Regions from separate parts of the Mus musculus genome. Here all the other regions are reported to be linked to region 3. Evidence: microRNA targets listed by miRTarBase, many of them from high-throughput screens and not tested one by one. Region 3 holds a microRNA gene; each other region holds the end of a gene's coding sequence.
The links. The annotated mature microRNA mmu-miR-466f-3p reads CAUACACACACACAUACACAC and lies in region 3 at 1,214-1,234, opposite strand. An mRNA with a match to its seed (bases 2 to 7 or 8) in the 3' UTR can be bound and repressed. Matches are read on the target gene's strand: a 7mer-m8 pairs with bases 2 to 8, a 7mer-A1 pairs with bases 2 to 7 and ends in A, and an 8mer does both.

Region 1: miRTarBase lists Dnm3 as a target of mmu-miR-466f-3p. The part of its 3' UTR that is shown has no 7-base or 8-base seed match.
Region 2: miRTarBase lists Gnb4 as a target of mmu-miR-466f-3p. Seed matches in the 3' UTR shown: 8mer at 1,694-1,701.
Region 4: miRTarBase lists Mmp11 as a target of mmu-miR-466f-3p. Seed matches in the 3' UTR shown: 8mer at 2,163-2,170 and 7mer-A1 at 2,154-2,160.

What each region holds. Positions count from the first base shown.
Region 1 is chr1:161,989,168-161,992,393 of GRCm38, reverse strand. It overlaps Dnm3 (dynamin 3), which reads left to right. Exons shown (of 21, transcript NM_001038619.2): 21 at 303-3,226. The coding sequence ends at 372. Among named protein-coding and RNA genes, the nearest start is that of 4930558K02Rik, 11 kb to the right of the region's middle.
Region 2 is chr3:32,582,571-32,585,796 of GRCm38, reverse strand. Gnb4 (guanine nucleotide binding protein (G protein), beta 4) reads left to right here. Exons shown (of 10, transcript NM_013531.5): 10 at 571-3,226. The coding sequence ends at 677. Among named protein-coding and RNA genes, the nearest start is that of Gnb4, 32 kb to the left of the region's middle.
Region 3 is chr2:10,465,232-10,468,231 of GRCm38, reverse strand. Mir466f-1 (microRNA 466f-1) reads right to left here and starts at 1,288; the gene lies at 1,195-1,288. All of the region lies in intron 10 of Sfmbt2 (Scm-like with four mbt domains 2), which reads right to left. It overlaps Mir466m (microRNA 466m), which reads right to left and starts at 1,569; the gene lies at 1,486-1,569. Mir669f (microRNA 669f) reads right to left here and starts at 1,003; the gene lies at 883-1,003. It also overlaps Mir669e and Mir669b.
Region 4 is chr10:75,921,142-75,924,367 of GRCm38, forward strand. It overlaps Mmp11 (matrix metallopeptidase 11), which reads right to left. Exons shown (of 8, transcript NM_008606.3): 8 at 2,081-2,974. The coding sequence ends at 2,841. It overlaps Smarcb1 (SWI/SNF related, matrix associated, actin dependent regulator of chromatin, subfamily b, member 1), which reads right to left and starts at 473. Exons shown (of 9, transcript NM_011418.2): 1 at 162-473. The coding sequence starts at 254.

The DNA of each region.
Region 1 (3,226 bases), not on the chromosome of region 3:
TCCGAGCAGTGATGTTTCACAGTGGCCTCTAAGTCATTCCACATTTGCACTCGTATTGGGGGGAAATAAAATCTCTTTGGTTTTCATAAAGATTTGCATAACGAAAAACTACACAATTTCCACTGGGAACTGGGCTACCCCGATGACTCAGAGAGGAGAGTCTGAGAGTCGCTGCAGTGTGTGGCCACTCTTCCTGGCCGGAATTGCATGTGCATGCGCATGGTGGCTCTATGTCAGTGTTCTGAAGAGACAACTACTGCTACAACACCTGTTCCCTTACCTGTCTCTTTCTCTTTTTCTAGCCGGAGGCCACCCCCATCACCAACTCGCCCCACTATAATCCGTCCACTAGAATCCTCACTGTTAGACTAAACGAAGTGTCCGGCATGGCAATTAACCACTAATGATTTATGCAAACGCAGCACATTCGGTAACCTTTGCAGCTCAACCATGAGTAGTCGCATGTATGGACCTCTATAGGCAAGTAGCCAGTCTTACTAATGTGTTCACCAACTCATCTTCATTGCTCATGGTATGTCAGACCTTTGGGGTTTGACTCCGAAAACCTGCTAACCTGTAGAGAGGCTTAAATATGTTGTATTGACCAAGGTAGTTTTATACAGCAGCCCTATACTTTGGTACCATTTGTCTACCCAACATATATCAGAAGTTGCTTTGGAAGAGCTTTCTAAGCTGTCTACAGAGAAGCTTATGACGACTCTTAACAGATACAAGAGTGTGAGCTTGGAACCATACCGACCTTCCGCACATTCTGTTTAGGGCAGCAGAAACTCTGCCTTCTGATGTTAACGCCACCATTCAGTCCGCAATTGCTTATTTAGGCTTCTTCCCCCCACCCCCCTTATTTCATAGGACTGCTTTAAAAAAAAAAAAAAGCAAGGTTCTTAAATCAGCATTGCTGAAGATGAAAGCTTTTCAGGAGCCCGAGGCAGTCTGCAAAGGGCAAGTGCCCAGGGCTTGCCCTGGAGAGCCTCTCCTGGGGCTTGTGTGCTGTGCTTTGTGCTAGAGGCACAAGCACCATCCAGGCAAAGCGTGAGGGGTACTGGCAATCAGTTGATAGATTTGGCTCCTTTCAGAGTTCAAAGAAGAAGCAAAAACTAATTGCCATTCTAAAAGTGTCTGAGAAGATAGAATTTATTATCTTATTATTTACCTCTTTGTGAGCTATGATGAAGGAAGGCTGACACTGCAAGTGTTTAATTTTCCAGTTGATTGGACAGCATGGGTAACTAACTCCGTTTAGTTATTGTGACTATTATTTTGGCTGGAAAAAAGTTAAATGTATGCTAGCACATGATTTCTATGGTTTATATATAAATGATTATACAAGAATCCTTTTTAAAAAACGACTTTAGTGTCTCCACCCATTCCAGACTCCCTTAAATCTTACAGCCTACTCTGACACAATTGCATGGCAAGTATGGAACCTGGTATGGGAAGGTGATCCATCAGCGATGCCATGGTTTAAGAGCACGGCCCACGTGTTTCCAGCTTGCTCCTGAAAAACAACATCCTGGCCATACTGAGCTGCAGAACAAGTCTGTAGCCTCTCAGATCTCTAAACTTTACATGAGCAGCCTAGCCTAGAGGTTATTAGTTCAACCTCGAGGCTACGTTTTGAACTACCTATGACCAGATGGTTAGCACATAGGAACCAGCTAGAAGCCAAATGGAATTCTGTCTGCTAACCGCACCCAGACGGCAGAGCGGGCGGGCTTTCACCGAATTGTAGCGTCCCCAGACATTATTCCATAATCACAAAGGTAAATCAGGTTTTACTAACTGCAACATCTCCTTTTGAAGGCAGTCAACATGATTTGTATGCAAACTTCACTTTAATTTCCTGTGCAGTTTCTACCCGAAGCAAGTGGCTATAAAATATGATGTAAAAACTTTTAACCATTATTTTAAAAAGTTTTTTTTTCCAAGTGAAATGCCACTGCATTGAACTTATTCTAATGGGTTAGATCCCACTTTTAATTGGCAAAAATTAGAGAACATGCAACATACAAAGGGGTATTTTTCAACCTTTAAGTGACATAGAAGAGCTCTAATGTCTCTAAATTTTTTTCCCTGTTGAAAAAAAAACCGTGAATGGAACTCGTATAAGACATGCACATTGTCTTTGAAAACAGTGTCCCAACTAAATGAAAAAAAAAAACATACATTAAGCAAATGTTTATAATCAAACAACTCGTGGGCAATGAGGTCTCCCCACAAATCCCTCCTTTCAGCGCCCCCTTTGCTTCTTCCTCTGAATTCTCTAAAACAGGCAGCTAAGGAAATAGATACTTCAGGGTTTGGCTTTGTCCCTCCTCTGCTTGTACATCTTGCTATATTTCAAACCCTTCCTTCTGTTGGAAGAAACTAACTCAGAAAACCACTGGTGTGTTCTTGAATCAGCACAAACCAATGTCAAGGAAAACTGGGGATTTGTCTCTCCACATTTCTTCCCATTGATCCCAGACGGTCGTGAGCAACGGAATGGCACTTGTCATCCTTAGCTCTTGCTTCTTGATCCACAGATTCCTTGTCCCAAATGTCTCCCTGTGTCAGGACAGTTTTGTTCTCTTTGCTACCGAGCTATAATCCCTTACTCCACCACCCCCTCCCCAGAAGTTCAACACTGGCACCCCAGAATATTTTCAGATTGCTGCAGTTCAGAGGGTTTGCACTCTGCTAACAGCAGACACCAACATGAACGAAGCCTGAGGTTTCACTGGCGTGTGCGGAGTGCACGTCAGGCCTCAGGACGGGAATGTAAGCTTGAAGGACCTTCGCTTCGCACTCAGTTTCTAATCTCTCAGTCAACCTCCTGGTTGAGGACACCAAGGTTGTCAGCGCAATAGATGTAGTTTTATCTTGTCTAGCATAATAATAACTTTAAAAAGTGTTTTTAGGATTTGAAAAGGTACATGGTTGATAAGTAAAAGCCAGCTTTCCTGTCACATGCTAACTTACGCATGCAGATTGGCTAGCTGGAATAGCCAACCATTTGTGGATGGACTATGAAACAGGATCGATTTAGCACAGATATATTTCCAAAAATCATCTACCAAGAATACCTTCTTGGATATTGCCTTTAGGTGTGTTTTATAACATAGAAGAGCAGTGGGGTCTATTTACTGGCAATTTCTCTGTTTCTGCAGATACATACCCATTCTATCCAAAAGTGTAACCAAACAGTTCCTGTGATATAAGCATT
Region 2 (3,226 bases), not on the chromosome of region 3:
CAGCAAGCCTCAGAGGCAGAAAACAATTCAAGATGGAGTAAGGATTGTATGGAGGCTAGAAGCTTCCAGGACTAGGCCTATGTTAGCAGACCGAGGCAGTGAGCATCAGAGACAATAAATTTCTCAGGCAAATAAAAATACTTTTTCAAAAGTGGACTGTCACGAACTTACTGGAGATGTGGAGTTGCCTTTACATGACTCCCTAGATAGAGAAGTTACTAAACACCAGGTGCCACCCCTGCTCTTGTAGGCAGAAATAGGAAGATGGGGATTTGAAGATGATTTCTGGCCGGGTAGCGAGGTCAAGATCAGCCTGGACTATGTGAGACCCTGTCTTCGATTTTTTTTTTAACACTGACTTTTAAAATTTTGAAAACACAAACAGATGTTCACAAATGATGTAAAAAATTCCAATAGCTTGTGGTGTGTTGTGTCCATATGCTGGACTTGGCTCTAGCACTAGTCTTCCCAGAATGACTGCTTTTTTGATCACCATCTGCATCATAATGCAGAACTATTTTTGCAGTTCTAAAACTTCAGTTTTAACTCTCTATTGATCTTTCTTTGTAGGTGTCCTTGCTGGTCATGACAACCGTGTTAGCTGCTTAGGTGTGACTGATGACGGCATGGCTGTGGCCACTGGCTCCTGGGACAGTTTTCTTAGAATCTGGAATTGAGTGCCATATTTTCTGTTCTCCAATGATACCTGGAGAAATCCGTGTTACAGCCTATAGCTGTGAGGAAAAAAAAAAACCAACCCTCTACCTTCTATTTGCAGATGAAGTTTTTCTATGGAGGTGACTATATATAAAAAGCAGCGTTCAATAAGCTGTAGTTTATTGAAACTGTTGTGACATAAATGGTGGTCAGAGAAACAATCAAGATTAAGCTCCCTTTCTGTGGTCAAAGGCCAGGGTATTCATTGAGTGGTCGTCTTGACTTGAACAGATTCTTGCTTGTGCTCATTGTTTTTCTGTAGATTAGAGTGCACACTTTATAGCAGACAACCATTTGTGTTTGCCATTTTAAGGACTACCATTGAACTTTGTATATATAAGAAATGCCACATTTTTAAAGTGTTGTCATGGAAAACAAGGAAGGGCCTGTGATAGACAGAAGTGATGCTGTAGATTATGTGCTGTCTGAAGGAGGTCCCCTTGGACTGTGACATTGCATTTTAATCTGAAAGTCCCTGACTGCTTCGTGGTTAGGTGACTAAGAGGTGAGGTGGTCCTGAGGGACCCAGTGGCTGTTCATGCATTCTTTGCCATGCTACGGATTTAAGTGCTCATTTTCAGTCCTTTGAGGGGACAGGTGATATGAAGGCCAGGGGTAAAGATTTCACTTTGACATAGGGTACACCCTGAAGAAATGTCATTACAGTCTATTACATTAGAAACCAGTAGACACTGGCACGTGATTTTTTTTGGTATTTTAAGAAGCTCAGCCATTTGAACCATTGGACCTTGCTGTTAATTTTGCCTTCTGAAATGAAGTTTGTAGAAAGTACTAGTATTTGAGAAGTCTGACAAAAACCTGACTTGTCTCTGCATCTGGAGACACTTGCCTGGTGTTCTCTGTAATGGGAGGAAACAGTGTCTCACCTTCTAACATTTGAGAAATGTAAACTCATCCATTCAACTGGCACAAATATATGTATGATTTATATGTCACACATACATATGTGTGTGTGTGTGTATATATATACACACATATACACATATATATGATGGCTTTGTGAATTGTGTAATGTAAAATCTATGTAATGTAAAAACAGGTATAAACTATTTGTACCCTTGAACTTTTACTTTTCCATTTTTGCGGTGCTGCCGAAATCTAGGCCTTGTGCCCACTAGCCAAGTGCTGTACTTAGTACAGCCCTAGCTCCTCAGATCCAAGCTTTCTGCTGCCCTGTAGTATTGTTCTCCGTAGTATGATGTAGTCAAGGAGCTTACTACAAAGCTAGTCTAGAGTTGACCACTCCTAGAGCCTAAAACATTGTTTCAAAGGGGCTCAGCTGGCAGCAAAGATGTGCCAACTGTTCAGTAGTGTCTGTCACTGGGATGTCCCGCCTCCTAACGGAACAGACAGCTCTCCTCTTCAGTTCTCTCCTGTAGATTCAAATGATTGACAGTAACAGACTGTTATGTCTTGCTGGTGCCGTCTCCTTGGGTTACTTGGATGTATACAAACACATTGTAAAGCTGCTGTCTAGCAGTTTCTGTGTTAAAGTTGATCACCTGTAACTGTAACCTTAATACTTCCAAACTGAACCTGTGAGTTTTCATCCTTGTACTGTGAATGTGCCCATGTACATAACAGCTGTGATCAGACCAGCATCCCTTTTGTTTATGAAAATCAATTGATCTTAATACAGTGGGAAGACCCTTCGCCCACACAGCTCTAGGGTCCGACCTGACCAGGGCAGAAAGGGAATGAAAAACAGACACACACAGGAAAGCTGGGGTTGGGTAGACTGGACATTGATGGAGAAACCAGCACCCAGAAACTCAGAGTTTATTCCATGGAGAAGCACAAAGAGGCAGTGCTGTTGTATACAGATAAAAAAGGAGGAAACATCCGAGGTATACTGCTGGATCAAGGAGACAGGTTTAGCCAATCTCTTCAAGAGCAGTCCCCATATGTAGGGAAGCAATCCTCAGGCTGTAAATATCAGGATGGGGCTCAGGGAGCTAAGGTACACATGTTCTACACATACCATCAACACTCATGCTCAACCCAGGGGGACTCTGCCATTCTCGTGGGTCTAAGGTAAGGGTCCGTGATAGGGCAGTCACTCTGGATGTCCTCTGCTCCCTACAGGATAGAGGTGAACTGAGATACAGTATCGAAGAGAAACAGACCATCGTGGCAGGTGTGAATGTGTACCTTAATCCTTAATTTGCGGGACCCCTTTGCCCTTGTCTATTGTGCACTAGGGAGTGCTCTCAAATAGGGCACGAAAAGAAAACCTGACGGTGCTGAATGAAGTCTAGCCTTCCTTGTACCTCTGCCCAGAAAGTTCTATCGCTGGGTTGTATCTGCTGCCTGCCCACCCCAGCCAAGAGCTGAGGCGCATGAGAGGATCCTGAGCATCCCCAGAAGGGTGTGTCTGCTGTGTGGCTCAGAATTCATACTAAAACCTCGCTCAAAACTAAGGAAAAAAAAACCATAACAAAAAACCTCGCTCAAAACAGCATTTCTATTAGGTATAAAGGGGGCTTAA
Region 3 (3,000 bases):
CAATCTCTAACCTCTAGGTTGCATATCATTCACATGGATTGGTAAGTGGCAATTGTGGGTGTGTTTGTGTGTGTGTGCATGTTTGTGTGGGTATGTATGTATATGTATATTCATATATACATACATTTTCATGCACACATAAATATACACACATGCACATACATAGGGGTCATCACATTAACACAAGGCTGATCTCTAACTCATCATGAAGTTATTATGAATTTGAACTCCTGATTCTCCTGACTGTGAGAAATGTTTTTGCCTGGTGAGTGAGATGTCTCACTGGCCCAGTAAATTTACATATTATACAAATGGATCGATGAAAGCCATTTCTGTGTCTGTATCTGCGCATGCGTGTATATGTTTGTGTGTATGTATATGTACATTAATAGACACACATGCACATGCACACAAAACTATATACACATGCACATACATTCATGGGGGACATCCCATGAATTCTAGGCTGATGTCTAACTCATCATGAAATTAAGCATGAATTTCATCTCCTAATCCTCCTGAGTATGGCAAACATTGTTACCTGGTGAGTGAGATCTCTCCCTGGCACTGTCCTGCCTAAACTCTCAAGCTCTAAGACACATATCATTCAAATGGATGTGTGTGTGTGTGCATGAGTGTGTAAGTGTGTGTATATTCATATTCATATACACAAATGAACATGCACACACAAGACACACACCTGCCCATATATAGGGTACAGCCCATGAATCCCAGGCTGATCTTTAACTCATTATGAAGTTAAGCATGATTTTGAACTCTGGATACTGATGCTCTGGCAAGCCTTCCCTGGTGAATGAAAAGTTTCAGTGGCCCAATACTACATAATCTCTAAAGCTCTAAGTCACATATCATTCAAATGGATCAACGAGTGCCATTCCTCTGTGTGTGTTTGTGCTTGCGTTTATACGTGTGTGTGTATGTATATGTATATTCATATACACACATGCACATGCACACACAACTATACACACAGGCACATACATGGGGGGCATCACATGAATCACAGACTAATCTCTAAATTCTCAGGAAGTTGAGCATGAATTTGAATTCCTGATTCTCCTGATTCTGGCAAGCATTTTCACCTTCTGAGTGAGACCATTCACTGGCCCAGTACTGTATAATCTCTAAAACTATAAGTCACATATCATTAAAAGTGATCAGTGAGTGTCATTCATATGTGTGTGTTGCATGTGTGTGTATGTGTGTGTGTATGTGTATGTATATTCATATACACACATGCACATGCACACACACGTAAACACACATGCACATACATATGAATACCAGGATGATCTCTAACTGAAGGTAAGCATGAATTTGAACTTCTGATCCTCCTGACTCTGTCAATCGTTTACACCTGGTGAGTGAGAACATTCACTGTCCCCTATTGCATAATCTCTAAAACTCTAAGTCACATACCATTCAAATGGATTGATAAGTGCCATTCCTGTATGTGTGTGTTTGTGTGTGTGTACGTGCGTGTGTATGTGTGTATGTATATGTATATTCATATACACACATGCACATGCACACACAAGAACACACACAGGCACATACATAGGGGCCATCACATAAATCCCAGGATGATTTCTAAATCTTCATGAAGTTAATTATGAATTTGAACTCTTTATTCTCCTGACTCTGGCAAGCGTTTTTACTTAGTGAGTGAGATGTCTCACTGGCCCAGTATTACATAGTATTGAAAGATCTAATTTACATATCATACAAATGGATTGATAAGTGCCATTCATGTGTGTTTTTCCACGCGTGCATGTCTATGTTAGTGTGTATGTATATTTATATTTATATTATACACACATGCACATGAACACACACGTATATACATAAGCTGCATCACATGATACAGGCTGATCCCTAACTCTTGATGAAGTTAAGCATGAATTTCAACTCCTGATCCTCCTGACTCTGGCAAGGATTTTAGCCTGGTATTTGAAGCCTCACCCTCACTCAATACTACATAATCTCCAAAGCTCTACGTCACATATCATTCAAATGGATTGACAAGTGACATTCCTGCATGTATGTGTGTGCGTCTGTATGTGTATGTGTACATATATTGATATGCACACATGTACATGCACACACAAGTATAAACACATGCACATACATGGGGGGCATGACATGAATCCCAGGCTGATCTCTAACTCATCATGAATTTAACCATGAATTTGAACTCTGAAACATACTGACTGTGGCAAAAGTATTCAGCTAACGAGTGAAACAACACACTGGCCCAGTACTGCATAAGCTCTAAAGCTCTGAGTCACATATTATTCAAAAGGATATATGATGCCATTACTCTAAGTGGTGTGTGTGGGTGGGTGGGTGTGGGTGTGTACATGTGTGTACATGTGTGTATATGCATATTCATATAGAGAAATGAATATGCACACAACTATACACACATGCACATTTTTGGTGGGCATCACATGAATCGCATGCTGATCTCTAACTCATCATGAAGTTAAACATGAATTTGAACTCCAGGACCTCCTGACTCTGGCAAGGGATTTCACCTCCTAACTGAGACATAGCTCTGACCTGGTACTGCATAAGCTCTAAAGCTCTGAGTCACATATCATTCAAAAGGATATATGAGTGCCATTCGTGTGTGCATGCGTGCATATGCATATTCACATAGAGAAGTGAATATGCACACAACTATGCACACATGCACTTTCTTGGTGGGCATCACATGAATCTCATGCTGATCTCTAACTCTTCATGAAGTTAAGCATGAATTTGAACTCTGTAGCCTCCTGACACTGGCAAGAATATTCACCTCCTACCTGAGACATAGCTCTGGCCATTCCTGTGAGTGTGTGTGCATGCGTGTATATGCATATTCATATAGAAAAATGAATATGCACACAACTATACACACATGCATATCCTTGGTGGCCCAGTACTGCAGCATCTCTAAAACTCTAAGTCACTTATCATTCAAATGGATCAATG
Region 4 (3,226 bases), not on the chromosome of region 3:
GTCCAGGCGGGACCGGCCACGCCCACCAGGCCACGCCCCAGCTGCGAGCACGCGCCCGCCTCCGCGATGAATGGAGGCGCGCTCTCGGGGAGCACTAGCCCGCCCCGGGACTCGAGCCGGCCAGCCGCTGCCCGGGAAGCCGAGAACGCGCCGCGGGCTACCTCGGAGCCGATCATGTAGAACTCCCCGTCGTCCTCCAGCTGAAACTTGACGGGCTTCTGCCCGAAGGTCTTGCTCAACGCCATCATCATCATGGCGGCGGGGGAAACCGGCAGCCGGGGTCGAGCTGGAAAGAATCCGGTGGGCTAGGGCGGGGCCGAGGCGCGTCGGACCGAAAGGAACGGAGGCCTGGAGGTGAAGGTCGGGCAGGGCAAGCCGGGCGAACCGGGCGAGCGCTCGTGTCACTACTGGGCTCCTTGGCCGTCTCTGCAACGAGCAGGCCGCCCTCGGTGCGCATGCGTGGAGAAGCTGACGCTAACGTGCGCGCCGCAGCCTGCGCGACTCAAGGCCGAGCGCGTTCCCGCAAGCCCTTAAAGGGACCCGAGTTCTTTTTTGCTTCCTAGGCTTCCTCCCTGGGCGGGTAAGGAGGAAAACCTCTCAGCGACCGAAATAGCCACTGAGGCCCTGACTCAGGCGGTAGCTTTCCTAGTCGCATAGCCAGAGCTGGCACTCCGCCCCGGGATGAAGGAAAAAAATGAGACGTTAAGCGAGGAGAAGGACCGCTCTATCTGGAAGCCCGAGGGAAGCTGGGTGGGCATGGCGACCCCACGCTAGCGCCTCAGGTTTTCCACCCGAAAGTGCGTTAGGAATAGCTAGCTATCCACTCCAGGCCAACAGCAGTTCCCGAGGCAGTAGGGATGGGAAGAATGACAATACTGGATGGAGGTTGGTACTATTCAAAGATCTAGGTGATGTGCCAGATGAACGGGAGGAGGCACTTGCATTCCTTCCTTACCTCTGCAAGCTTGGTGCCCACAAGCCCAGCCCTGGTCTGTGCCTCTGCCCGCCTTGGGGCATAACAGCCCCGAGAGAAGACAGTGCTTCTGGAACGTGTCCAAGCAGTCCACCCCCTGTTGAACAGAGCCGTGACTCCAAAATGTTTAATGTTTATTGTAGCACTATTACAGGAGCTTAAGTTATAGCCTAGCCTAGGTAGCTATTCAACAATAGAGGAATGGATGAAGAAAATGTAGTCTAGGCTGGGTGTGGTGGTGCAAGCTTTTAGCTTCAGTTCCAAGACAGTCAGGGATATGTTGAGCAACTCTGTCCCAGAAAACAAAAAAGAGTGTGAAATGTGTGTACATGTGTTTTTTGTTTTTCAGCCACAAAAGTGAAATTACATTGTTTTCAGGAAAATGGATGCAACTAAGATATCATATTAAACAAATCAGGCCAGTCTCAGAAAGACAAATACGTTTTCTCTCATTTGTGCTTTCTAGATTTTCCTTAGATACATAAAATATGTATTCCACAGAACATTAAAGTAAAAGTGACATTGTGTATGGGAGCAAAGGGACTAACAACCTAGTGTAGGGGAGGTGGGGGCATGGTGGGATGTGCAAAATACAAACACTTCTCTGAAAGCAGCAGGACAAACAGTGGCCAGCTTCATAAGGGTCAGTCTAATGAGACTGCAATTGTGACTGGGGTCATGATGAAGGAGATGTTAAAGAACTAGGAAAGGCTGTGGTAACCAGGAGTTTGCCCACTGATCTCACAGCCATGGGAACCAGAGGGTTAAGGGCCAGGGGTGGCTCACACTTTTAATCCCAGAACTCCAGAGTCATAGGCAGGCAGACCTCTGTGGGTCCCAGGACAGTCAGGGATGTATAATGAGACCATGCCTCCCTCAGCTCCCACCCCCAGTAGTTAGGCATGATCTGATAAAATGATACTGCTTTTGCTGAGACAGCCAGTCAGTTAGAAAGCCACTGTGGGTATACCTCTATTTGTTCAGGAATGGGACAGGAGAGACTCTAAATATGGGTCCTAGCCCCAGGGAAACAGTCTTGGGGCACAAAGGCTCTAACCCTTACTCCCAAATCTTGACTGCAAATTGCAAAGAAAAACAGACAGGCGCTTAGAAAACACTCATGTTTAATGACAGTCTTGGCTTTTTTGGGTTTTGTTTTTTGTTTTTTTAAAAAAGTCTTTATACACTGTATACACATGTACATGGCTTAGAGGGTACCTGTGCTAGGAAGAGGGCCCCAGAAAGAAATGGCCTGGGGCAAGGCTGTGAGGTATGTGGGGCCTTTGAGGTTCCGTGTCTCTGGGAGGAAGCAGCTGCCTCCTTGGCTGGCTGTGTACCTTTTGGCCTGAGTTCCAGGAAGCACTTGTCTGAATCACCTGCCAGAATATGATCAGTTCACTATCTCTCCAGAGCTGACTTACCAGGAAAGATACTGGTCCAGTTGCTTAGCAGGGGCAGCATGGTACCCTGGGCATCTCATTACCAACACCACTCCCAACAGGAACCTCATTGCAGGTGATTCCTGAGTTTGTGTGGGGGTTCTACTTTGAGGGACAGAGATGGAGACCTTGGGCAACCAGGCTGACTGTGGATTATTGGTAGCTGAAATATTGCCAGCCCAAAACCTCCCTTATTTTTAAGTAACACCAAAGCCTTTGCCTAGTCTGAGACAATTGTTGGCAGGTGACCATGACCAGCATGGTCGTTCCTACAAACAGTGGCTGCACCCCAACCCACTCCCCTGAGGAGACATAGGCCCTGTCTGTCCCATGCCTGAAGCCCAGAGCCACAGATATGGCTGTGGGTCTCTTACATGATCTAAGTGCCCTGGCAGGAGTCAGTACCCCTGAATGCATCCAAAGTGTTGTCAGCGGAAAGTATTGGCAGGCTCAGCACAGTCAAAGAAGTCAGGACCTACGGGGCGAGGAAAGCCTTCTAGGACCTTCACCTTCACGGGATCAAACTTCCAGTAGAGATGGCCACGAAGGAAGTAGGCATAGCCTGAAAAGAGAAGGACATCAGTCAGCCAGTGGATACTAAGCTCTGCACGAGCCTAGGGACACACACCATGCAGGCCTTGGTCACTAGTGAATTCTTTGGGATCTGCCGAGCTAGGCATGGTAGCTTCGTGTCTGTACTCCCTGGACTCAGAAGGTAGAGGCAAGAGGATAAGGAGTTCAAGGGCATCCTTAGCTACATACTAAGTTTGAGGCTAGCCTGGACTACAAGAGACCCTGCCTTCAAAATAAATAA